3 linked regions of the Diceros bicornis minor genome follow. The protein of the gene in region 2 interacts with the protein of the main gene of each other region in a biochemical or structural test. Links are inferred from orthologs where the notes say so. Each region holds a gene or a part of one and is shown on either strand. Other genes may lie near its edges.

Region 1 (7,824 bases), on a different chromosome or scaffold from region 2:
AGGTTCCCTACCTTGGGTAGTGAAGTTCAATTGTTTCAGATTACAAGGTATTCCCTTCACTTTCCCAAGCATAGCAAACATATTTTACTTATCTCCAAATCCTTAATTTTAATTAAGATAACTTTCAAAATATGAAATCAAGATTTACCACCAATAAAACTTACAAAACATGAAATAACTGCTTCAACCTTATACATCTGTGACCATGTTAACTATAAATGTCTGTTAACCATACTTTCATCAACAAGGTTAATTTTTACAATGAGTGTAATTCGAACAGCTCTATCTTCCATTAAAAAACAGACCCATATATTTTTTTCCAATATCCCTGTGGCCAAGTCTATTTAATTCATTTGAAATTATTCAGCTATCACAAAATTTTAACTAAGTTTACCCAACAAAATGGTAATGATTTATTAAATTACCTGTATGTATAACTTTCCTTTCCTGGCATTCAAGAAGAGACCTCTTCCTGTATTTGTGTGCTTTTTCCCGAAACCTTACTGTTATCACTACATTTGGATTAGCAGCATTGTAATTCAGTTCAGGAAAAGATTTGGTTTCCACAAGGTTTCCAAACTTTTTGTTGACAAAATGGTGGACAGCTTTTCTGTGGTCTTTGTTTGTATCAGGTTTAAAGGTAAATTTGGAATTTTCTTTCTTTGCATCCAAATATTTAAAAAAGCCAAATGCTTCTTCTTCGGATACCAAGTGACAGAGTTCTTCATATTCAAGATTTGGTTTTACAACAATTTCACTGTTTTTTCCTACAGTTATTAAGAAAGGAAACTTCTGCCTAATAGCACTATGCAAAATAGCCCTCTGGTTTTTGTCAAGGATTCTGCCTAATGAGAATTCAGGAGACGGTCCAATTAGCTCAGTTTTAGAATTCCACTTCTCTTTTGTATCACAGGCAAACTGATTCAGTAATTCATTAGTTTTTTCATCTAACAAGGAGCTTATTACATCAACTTTTTCTTCTTCATCTTTGGAAGCTCCATCCTTGATAGTATCTTCCTTTTCCGAACTAGACTGATGATTCTGGTCATCATCGGAGCACCCAGCTAAAGTATCAACTTCTTGACTGCTTCCCTCTTCAAAGGATAAATTTTGAAGATCTAGTTTTGATTTTTTCGCAAAATTATTTGACTCAGGTGGCACTTTACTAATCTTGTAAACAGGTTCATCAGTGGCCTTATTAACTAACTGTCCTTGTTCATCAATCTCAATGACAACGAAGTCACTTGGTGAGCTTTTTATAGTGCCACGAAAGCCAACATGATCAGTAATGAAACACAAAGAACTAAACCTGATTCTAAAATCTATATCCTCTTCCATTCTTAAATAACAACGCCTACAAAAGAAACAGAGAGGCGGTCAGTTACCAGACAGAAAAGTTGTGGATAACAAAAAAGAAACAAATTTGCAGGATTTATCTAATTCTCTTCCTCCCCATCAATTCTGAGACCCCTTAAAAGACATTAATAATTTAATATATCATGTGTATTTTGACTATCCTGTACCAAGATGAATTAACAGGCAAATTTTTTTCTGGTATAACTGGTGATTTGCAACTTGACTCTACCCGCTCAAGGCTCCCATCTATTATGCAGGATTAAAATGTTTCAAGTTTACATTAAAAATACCATTTGTAGGCCCACAAAGAAGAGACTAGAACACAGGACTGTTTACAAGGATTTGTCTAAACACCACTTCTGAAACTTAAAATTCGCAGCTAATTCCAGAGAATTTGTGGCTAGATTTTTATATATTAGGGGTTAGGGATGGGAGAAGGGATGAGGAGAAGACAGGAAGAAATAGTCCAAACTGATATATAAACGAAGTTGTAAATACCAACTGGTAATACAAATATGCTTCAAGGTGGGCTTAAGTTAATCCTGGACCTTCAGCCTCCTTGAAAGCCCAGTTACAAACTTTCACAGATACAATCTTTTGAGGTTGACCCAAAGGAAAATTCCAATCATATCACTGGCATCAGAGAGAAGAAACCCTTACAGATCTTGGCGAAGCAGTAGACAAGAGAATAATCCTCTGAGGAAGCTTTCACTCATTCTTTGCATAACCCATGGCTACCACACCAGACGAAGCTACAGGAAAGATAAAATGACCAGGGGCCCCATACTACTCAGTTCTTTGTGTTAACCACACTCTGCAGGTTATTATCATCTGGACCTTCATCCCATTTCTACAGTGTATTCTACCAATCTGAACCAATTTAGCAAACCCACCTCTATCCTTTCTATTATACCATGTAGAAATCACAGCAAATTTTCCATATCCTACTGTCCTAAAGAATATATAAGGATATATTGTTTTCCTTCATTCCTTAATTTCCCTTACAGTCTCCTCAGTTTCTTGCCCTAATTGAAATCTGGCTATTTCCCCAGGCTGCCTCTTCTGCAGTCCTCTCAAGCAAAGGCTATTTTTCCTTTCACACTCACCAAACTTAGGACCTGGAGGTTGCAAATATTTTCTATATCTGCCACTGCTTCTTCCAAACCATTTCTTCCTTCTCTACCTCCCAAAATCTCAGTTCCTTTGAAGTTCATGCCATCAGGCCCTACCATCTGCTGTCATTCCTTCTCTGGTCCCTGGATGACTCTTCTTCATTCACTGATGATTTTAACACCTGGTTCACTGCTTTCCTATTCAGCATGACTTCCATGACCATCCATATGGATCATCCATTTAACACTGTGCTCCCTCAGTTCCTCAATCTCAACCTCAACCCGCTTCCACTTCACCTTGGTCATAGTTTGATTTTCTCATCACTAAAAACTACATCAACTTGAAGCATCAGTCTGGCTCTCAGATTACTCCTGCTGTGCTTTCATCACTCTACTTTAGTACTTCCAGAATTTCTGAAATATTGTGAAGGCCTCTAACCTCTGCTTCTAGCACTAGTCCACTATAGTCCATTCTCCACTTAGCAGCCAGAATGATGATTTAAAAGGTAAACTAAATCATATCATAACTGTGTTTAAAACTCTCTAATTACGTTTATAATAAAATCCAAATTACTTACCTTGGCTTCCAAAGACTTCTAAGATTCTGGACTTTGTTCCCCAAATTTATCTTGTACTCGTTCCCATTACCCACTACACTCCAGCTACACTGGTCTTCTTCAGTTCCTTTGTGTTAACTGTTCCTGATGATTAAATCGGTCCTTCCCCAATCACATCCTCAGAGAGGTCTTCCCTGACCAATAATCTAAAGGAACCAGCAAGTCACTCTCTTTCACAAAACCCTATTTAATTTTCTGCATAGTATTTCTATCTAATAATTTTCCTCATTATTTATTGTATATCTCTCCCAGCTACAACGTTAGCTCCACAACAGCAAGAATCTTGTCTGCCTTATTCACTGATTATCTCACATTTAGAACAGTGTCAAGCACATAGCAGGCTCACAATCAATAGTGATTGTTGAATAAATGACACAACTAGTACAACATAAGAGCTGTAATGGTGAAGAGGAAGAAGGGATCACTTTTGCCTATGATAATCAGGAAAAGCGTAATGCAAGAAGAGGCCATCTAAGTCCAGAAAACGGTTCAAGAAATAGAAATGAGGTAGAGTCATATCATAAGTAACGTACAAACCAAATATGCAATGTGTTAGAGAAAACTGAACAGCCCAGATGCACAGCAGTAGGAGAAAAAGTTTTCTAGTACAGTTCTGGAAAATACAGCTGGATTAGTGCCAAACTATGTAAGACACTGAATGCCCAGTCAAAGACAGAATTCGTTGAGTGGTCAATGGATGGCCACTGGAGGTGTTCCAGTAGGAAGATGACACAATCCAAAAAGATGTTTTAGTAAGATGACTTGATGGCACTGAGCAGGATGAACGTCATGAAGAGTCAGAGGAGCTGCAAAGCAATGTGATCAAAAGCATAGTTGTAAGATTGGCCTTGGAAAGAATAATGAGCTACTCTTTCCCCAAAAAGGAGGCGATATAAAGACATTCTAAGCTGGTGGAATACGTAGAACAACTTGGGGAGGAAGCAACGACGAGGGAATTACAACCAAACATCTTAGTGCGAGTGGGACCGAGCTGGAGGGCCGCCAAGGGACCCACGTGGAGTTAAGCATGAAAGTGCCGTGTTCCTAAGCAACAGATTCGTTGATGAGGGGATAGGACGGAGAGCGGGAGCGTAGTTTGGCTGACCCAAGGACAGCCAATTGTTGGTTGAGGACAAATTCTGGGAAGATGTTAGAAATGGAGGAAGGGGGCGCCTTTGCCCTCATGCTCTTCCTTCACCAATGCTCCGCCGAACTCACTCCTACTACTCCCTATTTCTGCCATCAGTCCGCGGAACCCGTCTCCCGCGGCGCTGCCTTCTGGCGCGTCCACAAGCACCCCCAGACACCGACCGCCAGCAGCGCCACTTGCTTCTTCTCCCGGCCCCACGCCCCGCCTGTCCCAAGGCGCGATACTAGCCCACGTCGCCCTCCTTCTGGGGGCATAGGGTCGGGGTCCCAATGCCAACCTTGTCATCAAACCCCACAGCGCGCAAGAAGCTCAACTCGGTCTACCTCACGTCCAGGTGAAGACATTCCTCTGCACAACGCTGTGCGCATGCCCGGAAGCCTTAAACTAGTTGGCCTCCGACCGAGGCGTATTTAAAGGGGCAGGCTCCCACTTAAAGAAACGCCTCACGCGAGACCTGGTATTTTTCACATTGTGGAGCCGCCTGGAGGCGCAAAGAGGAAGAGGAAGGCGGGGCGGGGGCGGGGCCTGAGGGCTGGCCACGCCCCTGTCCGGCCCTTCCCCGTGCGCTGGTGCCTCAGCGGCTGGCTTCTCCCGGCGGCGCCCCGCCCGCCCCCCGTGCCTCGCCCCTGGACAGGTGAGGGATTCCGGCCGTGCGCGCCGCCTTCACCGCGGGTGGTCCGAGGTCCGCGCCCCGGCCTCCGTCCCTCTGCCCCAGGGTTATTGAGGGACCGTCCCGGAAGGAAAATCGCCTTCTTATCTTCAAAGGGAGAGAAGTTCGAGAGGAAGTAGGTGGCGTGGGCAGAGCTTGCCCCGGGATAAAGACTTGGGTGGGTGCCTGGGGATCAGAAAGTGAGTGGGACCTGCGGAGGAAGCTGGGGCATGGGGAGGCGTCCCCCAGCCGTCGGTCCAGCCAGCCCCATCGGACCTCGCCTCAAGTTTCTCAACTCCCAGGCGGTGTGTTCCGAGAACCCGTTTACGAAATGAAATCTCTTTTCCTGAGAACCAGGAAGTGAGGCCAGCAGCCGGCAGAGATGCGGCGTGGAAAGCATTCTGATCCTCCACGAGACTCTAATTAGCTTGTTCTCCGGCTTCCAAGCTTCGAGGAAATTAGAAAGTGGAGAGGGGGTGTAAGGATTAGATAAATGCATTATCAGAGGGGAAAGTCTATCTGACAGCCTGGAAGCAAGAGAAGAAACAAAGGGATGAAAAGCAGACCTTGAGAAAGGGAGAAAGCATTTTAGCCATTTAGAATGGGAACAAATAGTTCTGTTAGTGCCTCAAAAACGTATGTGCCCAAGGAGCCCTGAGAGCAGAGAGTATTGAAATCTGCCTTTTCTCTTTCTGGGGATAATCCTTGAAGAGATCTGTCAGAAAGTTCCTATTTCTTTTATTCTCCTGTTTGCATGCTAAGCATTCTTTTGAAGTTTGGTTCTACCTGTCCAAACCGAGCTCCTGATCTTCCAGGCCAAACTTACTCCTTCCATAGTCTTCTCCATCTCAGTAAATGTCAGGAAACTTGTTCAGACCAAAAACTTTAGTGCCATCTCCTCACTCTTCACATCAGCACATAGGATTCTATTTGCTCTACCTCAGAAAATATCCAGCATCCTAGGACTTGGCGCCTTCTCTGGTCCAAGCCGCCAGCACCTCCTGCCTGGATTATTGGTGTGCTCTGCTAGTTGGTCGCTCTTCCTGCTTCTCTGCCCTTCCTCCAATATCCACTATTCTCTGCAGCAGCCCCAGTGTCTTTTTAAGACATAAGTATAGAGCATGTGTCTCCTCTTCTCGAAACCTCCACTGTCTTCTCATCTCATCTCATCTCACCTCATCTCATCTCATCTCACTCTTCAACATCTCACTCATAAACAAAGTCAATACAAAGGTTATAAAGACTTAGTATACCTGGCCCCATTACCTCTCATCTTATCTGCTACTTTTCTGCTCCCTCCTCTCCAGTCTTACTGTCTCTTTGCTGTTTCTCAATGGGCCCACTTCAGACCCTTGCATTTACTGTTTCTTTTGCCCAGAAACTTTTCCCACAGATATCCCAGTGGCTGGCTTTCTCATCCCTCAAACTTTTAATCAAATGACACCTTCTTATTGAGTCCTACTCTGACTACCCTATTTAAAACTGAAACCCCCTTTTCTGTTTATTTTTTTTCCATTCCAGGTGGCACCATCTAACATACTATGGAATTTATTTGTTTATTGCCTCTCTTTCTCTATTAGAATATAAGCTCTATGAGTTCAGTTATTTTTTTTCTTATTTTCCTAACGCTTTATCTCCAGGGATCAATATTTGGCACAAAGCAGAAACCCAGTAAATATTTGATGAATGAATAATATTCTTTAATATATCCAAAGCATTTTAAATTACTTGCCATTGAGTTAAATCAATGTCTAAGAGTGATGTGTTTTGTTTAATTTATGGCATACCAGCTCGTATCCCCATTTGAGAGGGGCAGCCCTATATAATTTAATAGATCTGGAAGATATCACCAGCTTTTCTTCATAGTGATGATGTTGAGTTGTCCAAAAATAAAGATTAATGGTTTTCCAGCATATTTTGCTTAAGAAAGCATCAGAGTGAATAAGGTATTTTAGGGAGGTTGTAGACGTATTGAACATATTATGCTCTATAAAGTAAGACTCCCAATATCTGAAACGCTTAGCTATAGTCTCAGACCTCTTATTTCCACTTTCTCAGTAGCCCCTCACCACTATTCTGAAAATTGAGCTTAAATACAACTCTGCACGTTTCTGTTTTTAAAATGTGACTTAAGAATAACTTCTGCCATAGAATAATCATCGCTACATTTTATTTTGATCACCTATTGTGGACAGGATTAGGCCCTTCCAGTTTGTTGATTTTAAATCTTACAGCACCTCTTAGCTGTTACCATCTCTCTTTTTCAGATGAAGAAACCAAGGTCCGGAGATACTGAATCATTGACCGTGGTCACAGGTAGTTTGTGAAAGAGATGTATTAGCATGCAGTCCCGTGCAACCTCAAAGTCCATCTCCCCTGCACCCCTGTACACTCTCTTCCTCTGATCAGAGTGATAATGAAGCACAATCTTAAAAATGTGTTAATTTACTTGAATAGAATTTTTTGAATTCCTATTTTGGGCACAGTACTTTGAGAACATGCATATGAGTGGGAAGGTGCTGGGTTCTACAAGCAGACACTGGTTTAAGTATATTTCTCAATTATTACCTTACCTTATATTCTTCTCTGAGTTGTCTTTGAAAATATCAGTGGTTTTGTCTACTATGAGAATTAATGGTATGAGAAAACAGTCATGGAGATTTTTATTTGTTTATTTGTAAGCAATAGATCCTGTTCCACTTCTATTAATCCTAAGTGCACTAAAGTAAAATTTTGAACACTTTGAAAGAGGTGACACTTTTTATGTTTTTTCTACACAAATAATTTATTTTCATTATTGAAAATGCAAAAAAGCAAATGAAAACAAAACCACCATAAAAATCACTATCAAGAGATAACCACGGTTAATATTTTGGTGTATGTTCTTCCAAATATGTGTTGGTGGTAATATATGAATGTATGTTTAAAGTAAGATTTTAA
Region 2 (7,236 bases):
ATTCCATTTCCCTCTTCCATCCTTCGAACTATTGTTGTCAAGCATTTTACTTCTACATGTCATGAAACCTATAGTATAGTGCTATAATTTTTGCTATAGTCAATTATCTTTTTTTTAAATTTTTAAATGAGGGGGGAAAGTCTTTTATATTTCCTCACACAGTTACCATTTCTGGCACTCTTCATTCTTTAGTATAAATCCAAGTTTCCATGTGGTATTGTTTTTTTTTTAATGCTGAAGAAGTTGCTTTCACATTTCTTGTAGTGCAGTTCGGCTGGCAACATTCTCTCAGCTTTTTTCTTCAGCCTTCATTTTTAAAGATGTTTTCTCCAAATCTGGGATTCTATGTGACAGAGTTTTATCTCTTTCAGCACTTTAAAAATGCCCTTTCATTGTCTTCTGACTTGCATAGTTTCTGGTTAGAAGTTTACTCAAATTTTTGTCTTTGTTTCTCTATACATAATGTACCTTTTTTCCACTGACTGCTTTTAATATTTTCTTCTTATTACTAATTTTCAACAATTTAATGAGGATGTCTTTTGCAGTGGTTTTTGTGAGAGTGTGTGTTTGGGCTCATTGAGCTTCTTGAGTCTCTGGGTATATAATTTTCATCAAATATGAAAATATTTTCAACTGTATTACATCTTTTTTCTGTAACCCTTCTCACCCTTTTCTCATCTGCAACTCCAGTTATACACATAATAGAATACTTGGTATTTTCCCACAGATTACTAAGGCTCTGTTTTTCTGTTTTGGTTTTGGTTTTGGTTTTTTTTAGGTTTTTTTCCTTCGTGTGCTTTATTTTGGCTACATTCTTCTGCTATGTCTTCCAGTTTACTAATCTTTCCTTCTGAGTGTCTAATCTGCTTCTGAGAGTTAATCCCATACAGTGAAATTTTTCTTTCAGAAGTTGTAATTTTAATCTCTAGAAATTCCAATTTTTATGTCTTTAATTTCTCTCTTTCAGCCTATGGAGCATATTTATAACAACTGTTTTAGTGTTGACTGCTAATTCTATCATCTTTGTCATTTCTGGCTTTATGTTGACTAAATTCTCCTGGGTATAGATTACATTTTCCTACTTCTTTGTATGTTCTAGTTCTCTTGCTAGTTTCCAGGCATTTTCATGATCTTCCTGCCTACTCCTTAAGTGCTGGTGTTCCCCAGTGTGCTATTAATGACTCCTCCTTTTCTGCTGTGCATACTGTCCCTGGGTGATCTCATCCATTCCCATAGTTTCAATTACCGTCTATATGATGGTATGTTCCAATTTTATCTTCTGCTATTCAGATCTCTCTTCAGAGCACTAGATTCATATATATAACTGCCCACTCCACTTCTCCACCCTCCAGACCTATCTCAAACTCAACACATCCAAAGTAAACCCATCAAATTCTCCCTCAAAAGCTGTTCCATCTCCTGTATTCCCTAAGTCAGTGAATGGCATCACTACCTCATAATCATACAAGCCAGAAATCTGAGAGTCATCCTTCTCTTTCCTTGTAGTAGATATTGTGGTTCCCCCCTTCTCAGCCTCCATTCTTCTTTTTTTGGGTAATCACCTCAATTTTCACTGATATATCCACATCGTCTCATCATAGCTTTGGAAGAAGCTAAATCCTTTCAGTCTAGAGGCAGGGCATATGTCTTTATCCTAAGGCAATTAGCCTCATGCCATCCCCTGGCTACCCTTTTTAGTCTATATATAGACACATGAATCAATTCTTGAGGCTTCTGGGAATGAAGTTTTCTCTCCTTTCTAAAAGAGTTTTCAAAAATGAGTCCCTCTTCCTGTCCTTTCTTGGACCTAGATGGCGAAACTTACAGCCACAAGAATTGCTGGCAACTGTCATTTGACCATAAAGCCAATACTAAGGAAGGAAAAGCAATGAATAAGAAAGAAATGTGTCCTTAATGACATCAGCCATTGAATCATTCAGCCCTGTAGCTTGCCTTTTCAAACTGGACATTCTATCTAGACAGGTCAATATTGGTTTATTGGTTAAGCCAGTTAGAGTTGGGTTTTTTGCTGCTTGCGGACAAAAGCATCATAATTGGTAACTTTCCTTCACCCTTCATCCCCAAACACAGGCAATTACTCACTAGGTTCTATTAATTCTATCCATTCAATAGTGTCTGGTTACTCTCAGTTCTGTCTCCTGCCACTGCCAGTGCCTTAGTTCAGTCTCTCATCTTTTCTCTTTTTTTTTAATTTATTTATTTTATTTTTTTCCCCCAAAGCCCCAGTAGATAGTTGTATGTCATAGCTGCACATCCTTCTAGTTGCTGTATATGGGACGCGGCCTCAGCATGGCCGGAGAAGCGGTGCCTCGGTGCGCGCCCGGGATCCGAACCCGAGCGGCCCCGGCAGAGCACGCGCACTTAACTGCTAAGCCACGGGGCCGGCCCTCTCATCTTTTCTTAAATGCATTTCTAAGATGCATATCTTATCAAAATTTCATCTGCTTATATACAGTTCTGGCGTGGCTTTCCAATGCTTCCAGAAAAGAGTCCACATTCCTTAGCATATTGTACAAGATTTTTCATGATATAAGCTGTCTCCTCTTGCCGATGCCCGCAATCCCATTCTGATCAGCAATGCTGAACTCTTTGCTGAACCAAAATACTCTTTAATCTCAAGCCTCCAGCACTTTGCTCTTGCTGTCCTCCACCTCACTCGCAATGCCCTCATCCACTTCTCTCTTCCCCTTCCTCCACCAAAACACACAAACACACTAACTCCTAGTCATCTTTAAGTTCAAATGTTCTTGGAAGCTTTTCCTGACCTTGCCTGAATTTGGGGTAGCTGTGTATCAAAGCACCTGGTGTACTTTCCTATTATAGTATTTATCACACTGAGTCTGTTTATTTACTTGTCTCCTCTGCACAGTAAGCACTTGGAAAACAAGGAATGTTTCTTTTACATTCTTGCATCTCTATTTCTGGTACCTAATAAAGTGCCTGGGACATAGCATACTCAATAAATGTTTTTTGAATGAATAATTATGTGGTCTGCAAACATAAGGATTGCTGATCTTGAAACTCTCTGTTTGAAAACCTCAACTTTTCCTGCTCTAAATGTGTTTCTGATTTCTAAGCATTAATCTTTTTCTTCCAGGGTATGCGGTTCCAGGTAGGTAGAGAAAGAAAACAAAAGAGCTTGGGACAGGTTGCCTTTAGTCCTCTGTAGCTCCAGTAAACATGTCCTGCCTTTCACCACCCTCCTCCACCACCTATTCACAGCTGGGTGCCCAGTATGGGTGTAGACTTAGCTGACCAGCCCAACAGCATACTCAGACCTTGGTTCAGACTTCTCTTATTGCCAAATGAAAGTTTGCCAACATACATACAGTTAACAGTTTTCAACTTTCCACTTATCTTTTGAACTTATACTTCATGAAATTTGTATATCTTAAAAAATTGTAGGCTTTAAAATAAACAAATCTGGATTATTTTACACTTATCAAGTAAAAGACAGCACTCTTAATCCTGAACTTTACCTTTGCTGGCCTTAGAGTTAGATATGACTAATTGAATGAAGAAATTAACTATGGGATTCTAATAGTGGCGATGTTCCTAATAGTTTTATAATCTAATTGTTAAGTTACTGGAAGAAACTACATTTCTACAAGTCTTAGGTAAAAAAAAAACCCTTGAATTTAAGGCAGAGAGGATTCGCTTGAGGGAAGGGTGGGAAATGGACATTTGTGATTCAGGATTTGTGGAAGAAAATTAAGCAGCAGGGAAAACCGAAATATCGGGAGGAAGTCAGATTTCACTGGACACTTGTGAGTGGTGAGGCTAGGAATTGGGGGTGGAGCGAAGTAAGAAGGATTTAGCTAAGGGCGGGATCCCTAACAGCACCATAATACAAGAAGGGCCTTGTTCAGTCGGCGGCAGCACTGAACACGTCCCCTTCCTTAGTGTGTCGGTGACCATAGTAACAGTAGGGGGCCAAACCTCTCCCCGCCCCGAGCATGCGCAACGCAGAGCGAGCGGGAAGCATCCTCAACAATGTATCCTTTTTTCTTCAGTCGGAGAACTACAACTCCCAAGAGACCACTTGGTGCCGCGTCGCCGCCTCCCTCTGTGGCCCTGCCCTGTTCCCTCCCTCAGGCCCCGCCCTCCAGCTAGTCCCCTCCTCTCCCTCCGACTGTGTGTCAGTGACCCAGAGGCGGTGTGAGGCGGAGGGACCGTCGGGGGGCGCCGCCGCCGCCGCCGCCTCCACCAGCAGCACCAGCCGTGCCGCGCGATCAGATTTGCCTCGAGCCCTCCGGGAGCGCACCACAAAGCGGGCCCTGCGCCTCTCCCTCCGCCCCCGGCTCCTCAGCGCTCGGCTCCGCGGCCAACTTCCCCTCGCCGGGCTTGGCCGGCTGGCGAGGCAGGCGGCGGCGGTACGCCGGGCTGTCTGCTCGCGCTCCCCGCGCACGCACGCTTCACCCCCTCGCTCCGCGTCTTGGGGGCCGTGCTGGGATTCCGGCCACCAGCAGTTGTCCGGTGAGTGTGGCCGCGGCGCGGGAGGGATCGCGGCGGGGTGGGCGAGGGGTGCGGGCAGGGCGTGCGCGCAACTTCCTCGGCAGCTTCCCGGGGCGGCCAGCCGGCTCTCCCCGCCCGCCTGCGCGCCCCCGCGCCGGAGGCCGCCGGGAGCGGAGTTTGCGGCGCCTGCATCCCGCGCCCTCGCAGGAGGAAGCGCCTTTGTCAGGAGCCGGCCGGGCGAGCCCTCCCCCTCCGCCGGGGAGCGGGGCTCGCGGCGGCCAAGTCGGAGCCCCTCGCCCGGCCGCCCGCTGCGGGAGGGGAGCTCCGCGGGGGCGGGGAAGAAGAGAGAAATGAAAGGGAAACAAAGGGGACGGTGGGCTTTCCTTTTGTTTGTGCGAATCTGATAACTTCCTTCCTTACATAACGCAGACTTCCAAGTTAGTCATTCTTTTTATTGTTGTGATTATTGTCATCATCTCTGCGCGTCTCTCGCGTTTCCTTTCGTCTCTGGATCTTAGAGCATTTAAAAACATTAATTAATTACGCCTCCGAGGCCCCTACGAAACAAGTTAATAGCCCGTTTCCGTAAGTGGGTAAACTGAGGTCCGGAAGAGCTCTCAAATTGATGGATAGGCTTGATCTGCCACCGCGCCTGGTGTCTGAGCACCTGAAAGCATTTATGAGTAAGAGCTCGTTTTCCAATGCCCCGTGGAAAAGTTAAAGATGCTCATTTTACTTACAGGTTAACTGAAGTCTAAAAGAAGTCGGAGTAATGGTTAGGTAGTTCAAACACTAATTCTTCTTACAGAGTGTTTGAATTTTAAACCTCAAAGACTCTTGAAAAATGCTTTGAGTGGGGAAAATACTGTAAATCATAAATTTACCTCAACATCTACTTTTATTTTTGTACATGCAGGTCCCTTACAAGGCAAGAGAGCAATGATGGGAGGTGGGAGGGCAGAGATTGTTTAATGTAGATTTAACAGATTTTAATCACTATACGCGAGGAAATATGTCTTGGTTTTAATAGCACCAACAACCTTCCCATTGTTGACTCATCAAATAATTGAGTGAGCACTTTATCCATAAGGTGCAGGTTGTGCTAAGGACTGAAGCTTTAAGTGTATGATAAGGTCATCAGTTTGTTTTGGTTCAAAGGCTGTATACTTTTCTTTGCAAAATGTTGTTTTGTTTTCATAGCAGCTGATCTTTTGTTTAAGAACTGGCTTTGTCTTTTTCTACATTGAATATGTATTACTTGTATAATTGAGGCAAAACGTGAGGTTTTTTTTTTAATTTAGTTTGCATAATAGTGTGAATTTAAATTTTTGAATTGTAGAGAACGTTGTTTCTTCAGTTCTTCTGTTTCAGTTTGTGATGTTTTCTTTATAACAAAATGTTTTTTCAGAGTGATCAGTTTTACATCTCTCAAAACATTGTCCTTATATTGTACAAATACATTGTATGAATTCCTGACGTTTTTTATTCACACCAGCAACCTCTTCTGGTGGAAAATACTTAACTCTGAGGACAAGTTTATTTATTTTGGTAGTTGAACCAAACTGGAAGGCACTAAAAATTTAAATCAAGCATTATTTCTACTAGTTATTTCCTGAGGTGAATAATGATCAGAACTGTAGTAACAGTGAGTACTTTCACTTATCCTAAATTCTCTTGAATTTTATATTATATAGTTGCCCCCAGATTTTAGATTCTGGTGGTTCCGTCAGAAAAGGAAAGTGAGACATCTGGTATTTTGATATTTTTCCCCCAATCCTCTAACCTATCCCCTTTCTGTAGTATGTTAAAAGAGATCTTGAGTTTAAAGCAAACATTTGGAAGATAGAACAGTTAAGTGTATGGAAAGTTGCATGTAGTGAAGTGGTTGTAATGCCTCATCTAATAAATTTACAACTTTCAAAGAGAAAACTGTCACCTAGGTTTTTATTAGTGTTAGAGGAGTGCTGTAATGTAATAATAGTAGTATTTACTGACTTGAAAAAAAGTGAGTTGAAAATTGTACCTTAGTGGCAGATTTGAAGGGGAGGGAGCAGAATCTCTGCTCTCCTTAAAATTGTCAGCTTAAGTCACCTTACAGTTGGTTCTGTTGAACTTTTTCTGTAGCATTTAGAAACCAGGTTTACCAGAGGCATTTGTACTTTAAGGAAGCTACTAACAATGCTACTAACAACTTCTGCCTTTGCTTAATCACTGGAGTCCAAAGGCAGAAGTTAGTGTTGACTGGTGAAGGCTGGCATTGCAGGTTTCCTAATTTCTTGGGGAAAAGCAAATGACTGAAAAGTACAGGGCAGGGAGCTGAGTCCAGAGCTGCCGAATGCTTCTGAGGCAAGTTTCAAGGGGAAGCCTAAGTGTGTTTCCATTTGACTTGGTTTCAGCTTCCTTTCAGGTTGTCAAAATGTCACTTATGTATTGAGTTTTTTCATTTCAGAATATGCCTTGTTGTGGGTTGTCCAGTAGGTCAGGTGATAAGTACTACACAGTAGTCCTGGTTCGTGAACAACTATTTTCAGACAGAAGCTTCTGTAGCTGATAAAGATTTTAAGCCAAAAGACTTAGAATTGAAAACTATCTTTCTAAAGTTCTCACATACATACATCTTACCATGGCACATCAATATAGACCTATCCGAGTATTTATTATATCAGAAAGGCTTGTATGGATTATTTTATTACATATATTTTGTGTATATAATACTGTATATTAAAATTTCATAATGACAAGGATATGATGGCACTGAGA
Region 3 (7,316 bases), on a different chromosome or scaffold from region 2:
GCTCATTGATGGGGCCCATCTTTGGCCTCTGCTTCTACACCTGTCCCATGCCAGGTACTCAGTGACCTGGGGCCCCCAACTCTGATGTCCCCCACCTCAGCCTCGAGCAGGAGAGGGTAGGCCTATTCTCATGGGGGTCACTCAGGACGGGGCTCCTTGGGACCAGACACCAGGCCTTGGCAAACAGGCGCCTCTGCTCCCTGCCGGCAGAAGGTTTGGGAACATCATCCCCTTGCCGTAGACTCTGCTCCTGCAGTTCTCAGGGGCCCCAGGGGCCTGGCTATGGCCCCTCCTCACCTCTTGACGTCTCCATGGATGAGGCTGGGGCTGTCCTGATGTAAAAACTGAATTGCCCGAGCCGTGCCCAGAAGGATGTCCAGTCGCTGAGGCCAGGAGAGAGGGGGGCAGGCCTGGGTCTGGAGTGGCAGAGGGAGCAAGGGGCACAGGGGAGGCTGGGGGGCCACCGTTCCTTGACCCCCAACCCTCCCTCTACCTGTCACCACGGGGTCTGGACAAGCCACTTCACTCTCTTGGCCTCAGTTTCCCCTTCTGGAAAATGAGGAATAAAATCTCCATGAGCTACTTCATAAGAGGGTCGAGACTGAGCCATTCTGATGCTTTGTAAAGCATGCCGAGGGAATGTACTTTCAGGAGCCATCACAGAATTTGGCAGTCCTGAATTCCTGGAGTCCATTCATTGGTCCCGGGGCGATCAGGATGTCATGGGAGGCTTTCTCCCCACCTCCCCCAACACAGTGTGCTTATCCTGAGCGCTTAAACACGAGGGCAAGGACGCTCTTGCCCCGTGTCTTGTGCACGCTTCAATAGACAGGGCCCAGTTGCTGCTGCCCACTGGCCCCTTTTCTCCAAGGCGATGATGACAAGAGCCTCCAGCTACTCTGCTTGCAAAGGGGAGAAGTTGTTGGAGTCAGGCTACTCTGAGTCAATAACCCCCTTTTTAGAGGCACCATGGCCCTGCCTCTTGGGCACGCAGGAACAGCAAGGGAGAGGCCATGGGAAAGAGTTCCAGGGAAAACAGTGACCCACTTGGGCCAAACCCTGAGCCCAGGCCCTGCCTGTTGGTGGGACCTACTCACACAGGCTGAAAGCCCAGTCCCCGTGCCCTGCTTCGCCTAGGTGCCAAGAGTGCTGTGGGTCCAGGGAAGCGTGCCACGCCAGGTAAGGCTACCTGGAAGTGGAGGCGGTCTTCCAGGGAGCCGTTGGGCAGGAAGCCATAGACAAGGCAGTAGAAGCCACTCTGAGCACAGTAGCCAGCAAAGTCAACGATGTTTGGGTGACGAAACCTGCTTGAAAAAGTGGGGCCTGAGCCCTCTGGCGCCCAGCCTCCACCACACCTTCCATTTGGCCATTGTGGGGGTGGGTAGTCCCTGGTGGTTCCTCAGCTAGGCTGGGTGTGGCAGGCTTTGGGGGCCTGAGGGAGCCAGGTCCTGTGGTGTGTGGTCCTGGATGCCAGTGGGGCCCTGGTGTGGCTCTCCCTCTGCCCCCAGCCAGGAAGGATGCCCCAGGCTCACCGTGACAGCTGCTCTACTTCGGTCAGGAAGCTCTGCTTCACGGTGGTCCACTCCAGGTCTGCCTCCTGCAGCCCCCAGGGAAAACCGTAGGGGAGCGGCATGAGACTCTCACAGCCAAGGATTGATGGCCACACCCACGGCCATCTGTCCTGGGCCCAGAACAACCAAGGGACTGGGGACCCTGACCCGGGGAATCAAAGGGCTGAAGGAGCTGCATGGGGAAGCAGTGGGGGAGGACCAGAAAAGTGTGGGTCTGTTGCTGGCCCTCCAGGGCCTTTGTTGAGATGCTCCACCCACCTCCTTCAGCCTCTTCACAGCGTACACCGTGTTCCTCATCACAGCCCGGTACACACACCCAAAGCCACCCTCCCCGATCTTCAGCTCTTCTGAGAAGTTGTGAGTGCCCTGGGAAATCTCATGGAGGGGCCAGCAGAACGGAGAGGGGTGGGCCCCCTGCAGGAGGAACACCTGGCTGTCTGGGCTCGGCTGTGGGAAGAGACTCCAGATCAGGTGAGGACCTGTCTCCTCCCCTGGGTCCCTGCCACAAGCAACCCCACCCCCTCGCCAGCTGCCTCAGCTGGGCTGGTTGGGGATCCTAGATGTACCAAAGGCTAGGTTTCTTGCTCCTTCTCTGGAACCTTTCCCAGGGGCAGGACCCACCTACCTTGGTAGAGGAAGGGGCTGGAGATGGTGGTGGTGGCCGGAGGGCAGCAGGGCTTGGGACAGGGCCAAGTTCAGACCCAGAATGGGTCTGGGAGCCTGGAAAAGCTTCATAAAGACACCAGTGAGTGGCAGGCAGAGACCGGTGGCAGAGTGTTCAGCCGTGGCCATGGTCAAGGTGGCCATTTCCTCAGGTCCATCAAGCCCAACACCCGGGCCCTCTTACCTGGGGAGGGGAGGGTGGAGGCTGACGACTGCAACTTCCGGGGGCTGGGAGCCTCAGCCTCAGAGGGTGCAGCGATGCTGCTGGGCTTCAGGGCGGTGGTGCTGGGGGGCAGGTGGGGGGCGGGAGGGTGCCCTGGGACGCCAAGGAAGGAAAGGACGGTTAGGCCCAGGCGGGGGGAGGAGCCCCATGGGAGGCCCAGGGCGGCCCTCAGCCAGGGGGTCCCGGTGCTGCGTGCTCACAGGCCGTGATGATGTCCCGAGCCCGGAGCAACTGCAGGTGCGTGAGGATGCGCACGAGGTCGGCCACGCGGGCGTTGCGGTTGATCCAGGGCCACAGGACGCTGGCCGTGCGCTGCTCGGAGCGCTCACACAGCCGCAGCTCGGTCTGGTCGCGCACGATCAGGGCGGCTGCGGGGTGGGGGGCGTCAGGCCTGGGGGCCCGGGGCCCGAGCGCCCCCCGTCCCGCCCTCGCCGGCCCGCCGCCACCCACCGAACTGGCACCAGTCGGCGGGCTCCAGGGCGTCCATCACTTTGTAGAAGCGGCACATGACCCAGGGCGGCACCTCGTACAAGAAGTGCTGGCCGCCGGGGACCGCGGGGTCCCCTGGGCCCGGCCCCCCGGCCATGGCCGCCGCCGCCGGGCCAGGGCCTCTTGGGGCCTCTCGGGGCGGCGGCGGGCGCGGGCCTCGGCCCCGGTCCGCGGACACTGACTCACTTCCCCTTTAAGCCGGCCTCGTGCGACGCCCGGCGAGGCGGAAGGGGCGGTGCCCGGGCCCGCCGCCATCTTGTCCGCCGCGGCCGCGGCCGCCGCGAGCCTCGGCCACACGGGGGCGCCGCGCGCTGTCCCTCCCCGAGAAGGCAGCGCCGCTGGGCCCGGCGAGGCGGGCGCGGCGGGCTTCCAGGAGGAGGGCCCGTCCGAGTGGGGCTCTGAGGCATGGAGGAAAGCCGTTCCCAGCCCTGAGGACAAAGGGCACGGCCAAGGCACGGGACGTTCCCGAAAGGGCTAGAGCCGGGCCTTGTGAGAGTCGCTGGGAGGTCCCCTTAAGAAGTTTTGGCTTTCTTTGGGAGGCAGTGGAGAGTCGTCAGAGAGCCAGGCAGGACGGGGTCAGATGTGGGTCCCACAAAGGCCCCCGGCCGACTCCCGTCAGCTGGCTGTCAGGCTGGGTGCAGGGAGAATGGTCTGGAAGCTTGTACAGCAGGCCACCCCCGCTCAGAGGATTTCTGCCCACCTCCTGAGCCCTGGATCCCATCTTTTCCTCTCCTTCAGGAACCTGCTCCAGCAATTGTTAGCTCTTTGCAGTATCTGTCACTTTTCCTTCTTTGCTGGCTCCTTCCCACTAGCACATAAAACGTATTCATCTCTCTTAAAAACGGGCCTTCAGCTCCTGCTGTCCCTCCTCCCTCTTGTTGTCATACTTCTGGCTCAGTTTGCACGGGACCCTGTGAGGACAGCAGAGGCCGGCCTCTTCCTCCCTCTTTTCTGAAGCAGTCACCAGGCACCAAACTCAGTTCCCAGCCTGTTCCACATCTTCCTCCATTTCTCTCTTGCCCATTCCCACAGTGCTCCGCAGCCATTGATTTCTTCAGATTTTCTGGCACTCCTCCATTCCCCGGCCCCACATCAGCAGCCACTATTTGCCTGTCATCTCCCTGAACATCTCTGGAGTCCATCTCTTCCCCACAGGCCCGCTGCTCTCACTACTACCACTTACCTGGATGAAACTGCTGGCTTCCTGATGCTTCCCTGCCTTGTCTGCCTGGGTGGTCTTCCTCAGGGACAAATCAAGCTACATGACTTTCCTGCTCAAGACCTTCCTGTGGTTCCCAAAGGCCTCCGGTGGGGTCCCAGCTCTTTAGTGCAGACTCCATGCCGTCAGAATTTGGCCACTGCCCACCCATGTCATGTCTAGCTCTCTGCACACGTCAGCAGCCTTAAGCCATCTAGAACTCATTAGGGTTCCACAGATGTGCCAGTGCTCCCACATCCAGGAGTTTGCACGTGCAGTTTCCTGGCCCTCATGTGACAAGGTTGAGCTCAAACAGCTCCCCAGGTGTAAGCCAGGGTGAAAATTCCCTGGGCCCCTCTGGCATCTCTCATGCATCCTTCTTGAGCCTGTGCACTTGCCTGCCTCCCCCACTACACAGGGGAAGACCCCAGAAGTAGATTCTCCAGCTGGATGCATGCTTGCAGGGCAACAGGTCACCTTCCCTGATGGCCCCCCCTTGCCCTCTCAATTCTGACCCCAAAGGGTTCCCCCCTAAGCTGTTCTCCCTGGGACTTAGGGGAGTTTCTGGAAACTGGGTCTGCCTAAGACAGGCCTCCATTGGAGCCTCTTCCCAGAAGTCACAGCCACTGCTGGCCACTCCCAAAGAGGAGGCCAGCCATGCCCTAAGCCTCAGTGGCTTATCGCAGGGACAGCCCTTACTGAGACTACCAACCCGGGTATGGGAAGTTATCATGCATGTACATACTAAGCTCCAAGAAAACAAGAGACTTGGTCCTACTTGCTCACTGCTGGACTGCAGCTCCCAGGACAGGCCTGACACACAAGAGATGCTCAATACACACAGGTCGAATTTCAACCCTTTGTTTTAATGTTCAAGGCCAGGACTTTCAAGTGCACCTTCTAGTAGGTGTGTCCACATTTGCATGTGAAGCTGGACTCTGAGCAGTTGTCACCCCCTCCAGCCCAGCAACAGCCTGGTGAGGATGGCTGTGGCGGGACAGGCAGCTCCTGAGAGCCCAGAGCCTTGCGGGAAGCCAGGGAGCGTGGGCAGGGTGTGATAAGGCCTGCAAACCCCACAATGACAATAGCGCCCCCTTTGGGCAGGGAGCCAGGTCAGCAGAGGCCATAGGAGCGTCTTGGGCGATAGGCACAAGAGGAGCTGGAGCTGGAGCTGGGGGGCGGGGCGGGTGGTGGTGGTGGTGGTTTCCAAAAGCACCTCGGCATATCCAGACATATCCAGACCGAGTAGGCACCCCTGCCATGTCCCTCAGGAACAGGGAGGTTGTGCTGCTGTGCAGAAGGCCTGCAGCCTGCCTGCCCTCTCAACCTAGGGCATGGCGGGCAGACTCGTGCCTGGCCCTTCCCGGCCTGCTGCCCCAGAACTTTCCATCACACGCAGGAGCAGTGTGCCCGGAAAGTGTGGCCTTGGAGCACCCAAGGGGAGGTGGTGCATGGAGTAGGCTGCCCTTCCCTCGCACAGCAGTCCTGAAAGCGGCTGGCTATTTGTGTTTAGGGACAGCCAGACTGAATCAGGAAACACACCACCATGCTGTCCTATGAGCTGTCTGATAATGAAAGCCCAGACCTTGAGTCACTTTCACAGAGAGATTTATCAAGAATGCTAACAGCACAGGATACAGTACTTCCCAACAAAAGGTGCAAACGCATCACTTAGAAAGGCATGCTGAGTATTCTTTGCTTTCACACGTATTAAAAAACTTACAAAAATAAAATAAAACTGCGTGCTGCCCATCTTTTCAAATAGTAAAAGAACCTTATGAAAAAAATCACTTGATTTTACAACAAAAGACACAAACGGACATTTTTATGTAAATTTATAAGGCAAACTCTTTATATAATAAATAGGTTACAGGGATTCAGTGGGGGGTGTTTTGAAACGTATACAGGTACATTCAGACAGGTTTACTGAAATGGTACAAATTTCCTTAATAAATTGCCTTTGTTTTTAAATATATCAGTGCTTTCAGTCATTTGGCTATACACAAAGAACCTTTTTTTGAACACTACAAAAAAGCAATCAATATTTTTTGTTTTTAAAACGACCTACTTATTTTCTAAAGTAATTGTCCCAAAACACAAAAACTGAAGGTGAATGCGATCAATAGAGGGCTTTTCGAGACATCTCCAGCCAAGTCTGTCCTGGGCGGCTCCCAGCGCCCCGTGCACACCTCTCCCACAGTCAGCCAGGCTTCCGGGCTGGAGCCGGCTCCCTCTGCACAGGGCGGCCTGTTGTCACTGCGACTCTGGAGGGGACAGCCACCCTGCCTGGGTCTTTCTGCTACTGAACCCCATGTACAAATGGTCACTACAGTCAGCACTGTCCTCGCCTTTCAGAGGAGGTGCCACTGGGCACTAAGGGAGCACACATTTGTCCCTGTTGCGTGAGCCCAAAACAATGTCTGGTGGGGGTAACAGCTTTTCTGAGAAGGATCTGGTTTTGGCATGGAAAGGGAAAGGGCTTTCTCACATCCAAATTTTGCTGGGGATTAGATGACAGCAAAGAGAGCGCACCTCCTCCACCGTTATCTTACTGCCCTGATGGTGGGATCAAGAGGTCACATGAGCGTTGTGCACTGCAGACAGGGTGGGATGTGATGGAGGTGTCCTAGACCGTAATGCCCACCGCCTGTCCTGTCCAGGAAGAGCTGTGTCAGGTGGAGAGTGGCCAATCTGCCCTGTCAAGATATATGTGACCTGTGGCCACAGTGGAGGCCTCCAGGGAGATGCCCACCCTTTGAGCCACATGGCTCAGGCCCACTCCATCCTCCTCCCACGGAGGCGAGGTCGGCTCTGCTCACACCCCGCCCTGGCTCCCCTTGCAGGAACCTCAACCTTGTGAGTCCTTAAAAATAGCGATGATGCTAATCATCACAGGGGTGAAAAAAAGGCAAAAGAATCCACAAGGTGGAACAAAACCTGGTTTTGCTCTGACTTTGAAAATGGTAACACATCAGCTATTCGGTCCGTCGGCTTGGGCTTCACTTCTTCTGGTGGCTTTGGGCTGATTGGGGCAGGGGTCATCTTCAGATCTCCCCTCCTGGGGAAAAAGGACAGCCCCTCTCATCTTGGTCACCATCCCCTCCCTCCGAATTCTTTTGTTTGTAAAGAAAAGGTGTCTAGAAGCATTTGTCTCTGGAACAATTACTTTAAA

Evidence for each region.
Region 1: of the proteins of PELI1 (region 2) and IRAK4, one has a biochemical effect on the other in vitro, tested with the Homo sapiens proteins (4 studies listed by BioGRID and IntAct). The link is inferred for Diceros bicornis minor from reciprocal best matches to the Homo sapiens genes PELI1 and IRAK4.
Region 3: of the proteins of PELI1 (region 2) and IRAK1, one has a biochemical effect on the other in vitro, tested with the Homo sapiens proteins (5 studies listed by BioGRID and IntAct, with this or other methods). The link is inferred for Diceros bicornis minor from reciprocal best matches to the Homo sapiens genes PELI1 and IRAK1.

The regions. Positions count from the first base shown.
Region 1 is NC_080756.1:25,385,924-25,393,747, reverse strand, and holds the start of IRAK4 (interleukin-1 receptor-associated kinase 4), read left to right. Parts: upstream 1-4,783; 5' UTR 4,784-4,869; intron 4,870-4,902; exon of another isoform or gene 4,903-5,020; intron 5,021-7,151; 5' UTR 7,152-7,200; intron 7,201-7,824. Other genes in the region: pseudouridylate synthase PUS7L, read right to left, coding at 426-1,354, 4,513-4,520.
Region 2 is NC_080751.1:23,497,234-23,504,469, forward strand, and holds the start of PELI1 (E3 ubiquitin-protein ligase pellino homolog 1), read left to right. Parts: upstream 1-4,183; 5' UTR 4,184-4,497; intron 4,498-7,236. UniProt on the Homo sapiens protein: E3 ubiquitin ligase catalyzing the covalent attachment of ubiquitin moieties onto substrate proteins. Involved in the TLR and IL-1 signaling pathways via interaction with the complex containing IRAK kinases and TRAF6.
Region 3 is NC_080781.1:138,094,203-138,101,518, forward strand, and holds the start of IRAK1 (interleukin-1 receptor-associated kinase 1), read right to left. Parts: upstream 3,061-7,316; 5' UTR 3,044-3,060; coding exon 2,908-3,043; intron 2,826-2,907; coding exon 2,658-2,825; intron 2,551-2,657; coding exon 2,419-2,550; intron 2,301-2,418; coding exon 2,197-2,300; intron 2,019-2,196; coding exon 1,830-2,018; intron 1,598-1,829; coding exon 1,533-1,597; intron 1,305-1,532; coding exon 1,190-1,304; intron 417-1,189; coding exon 298-416; intron 1-297.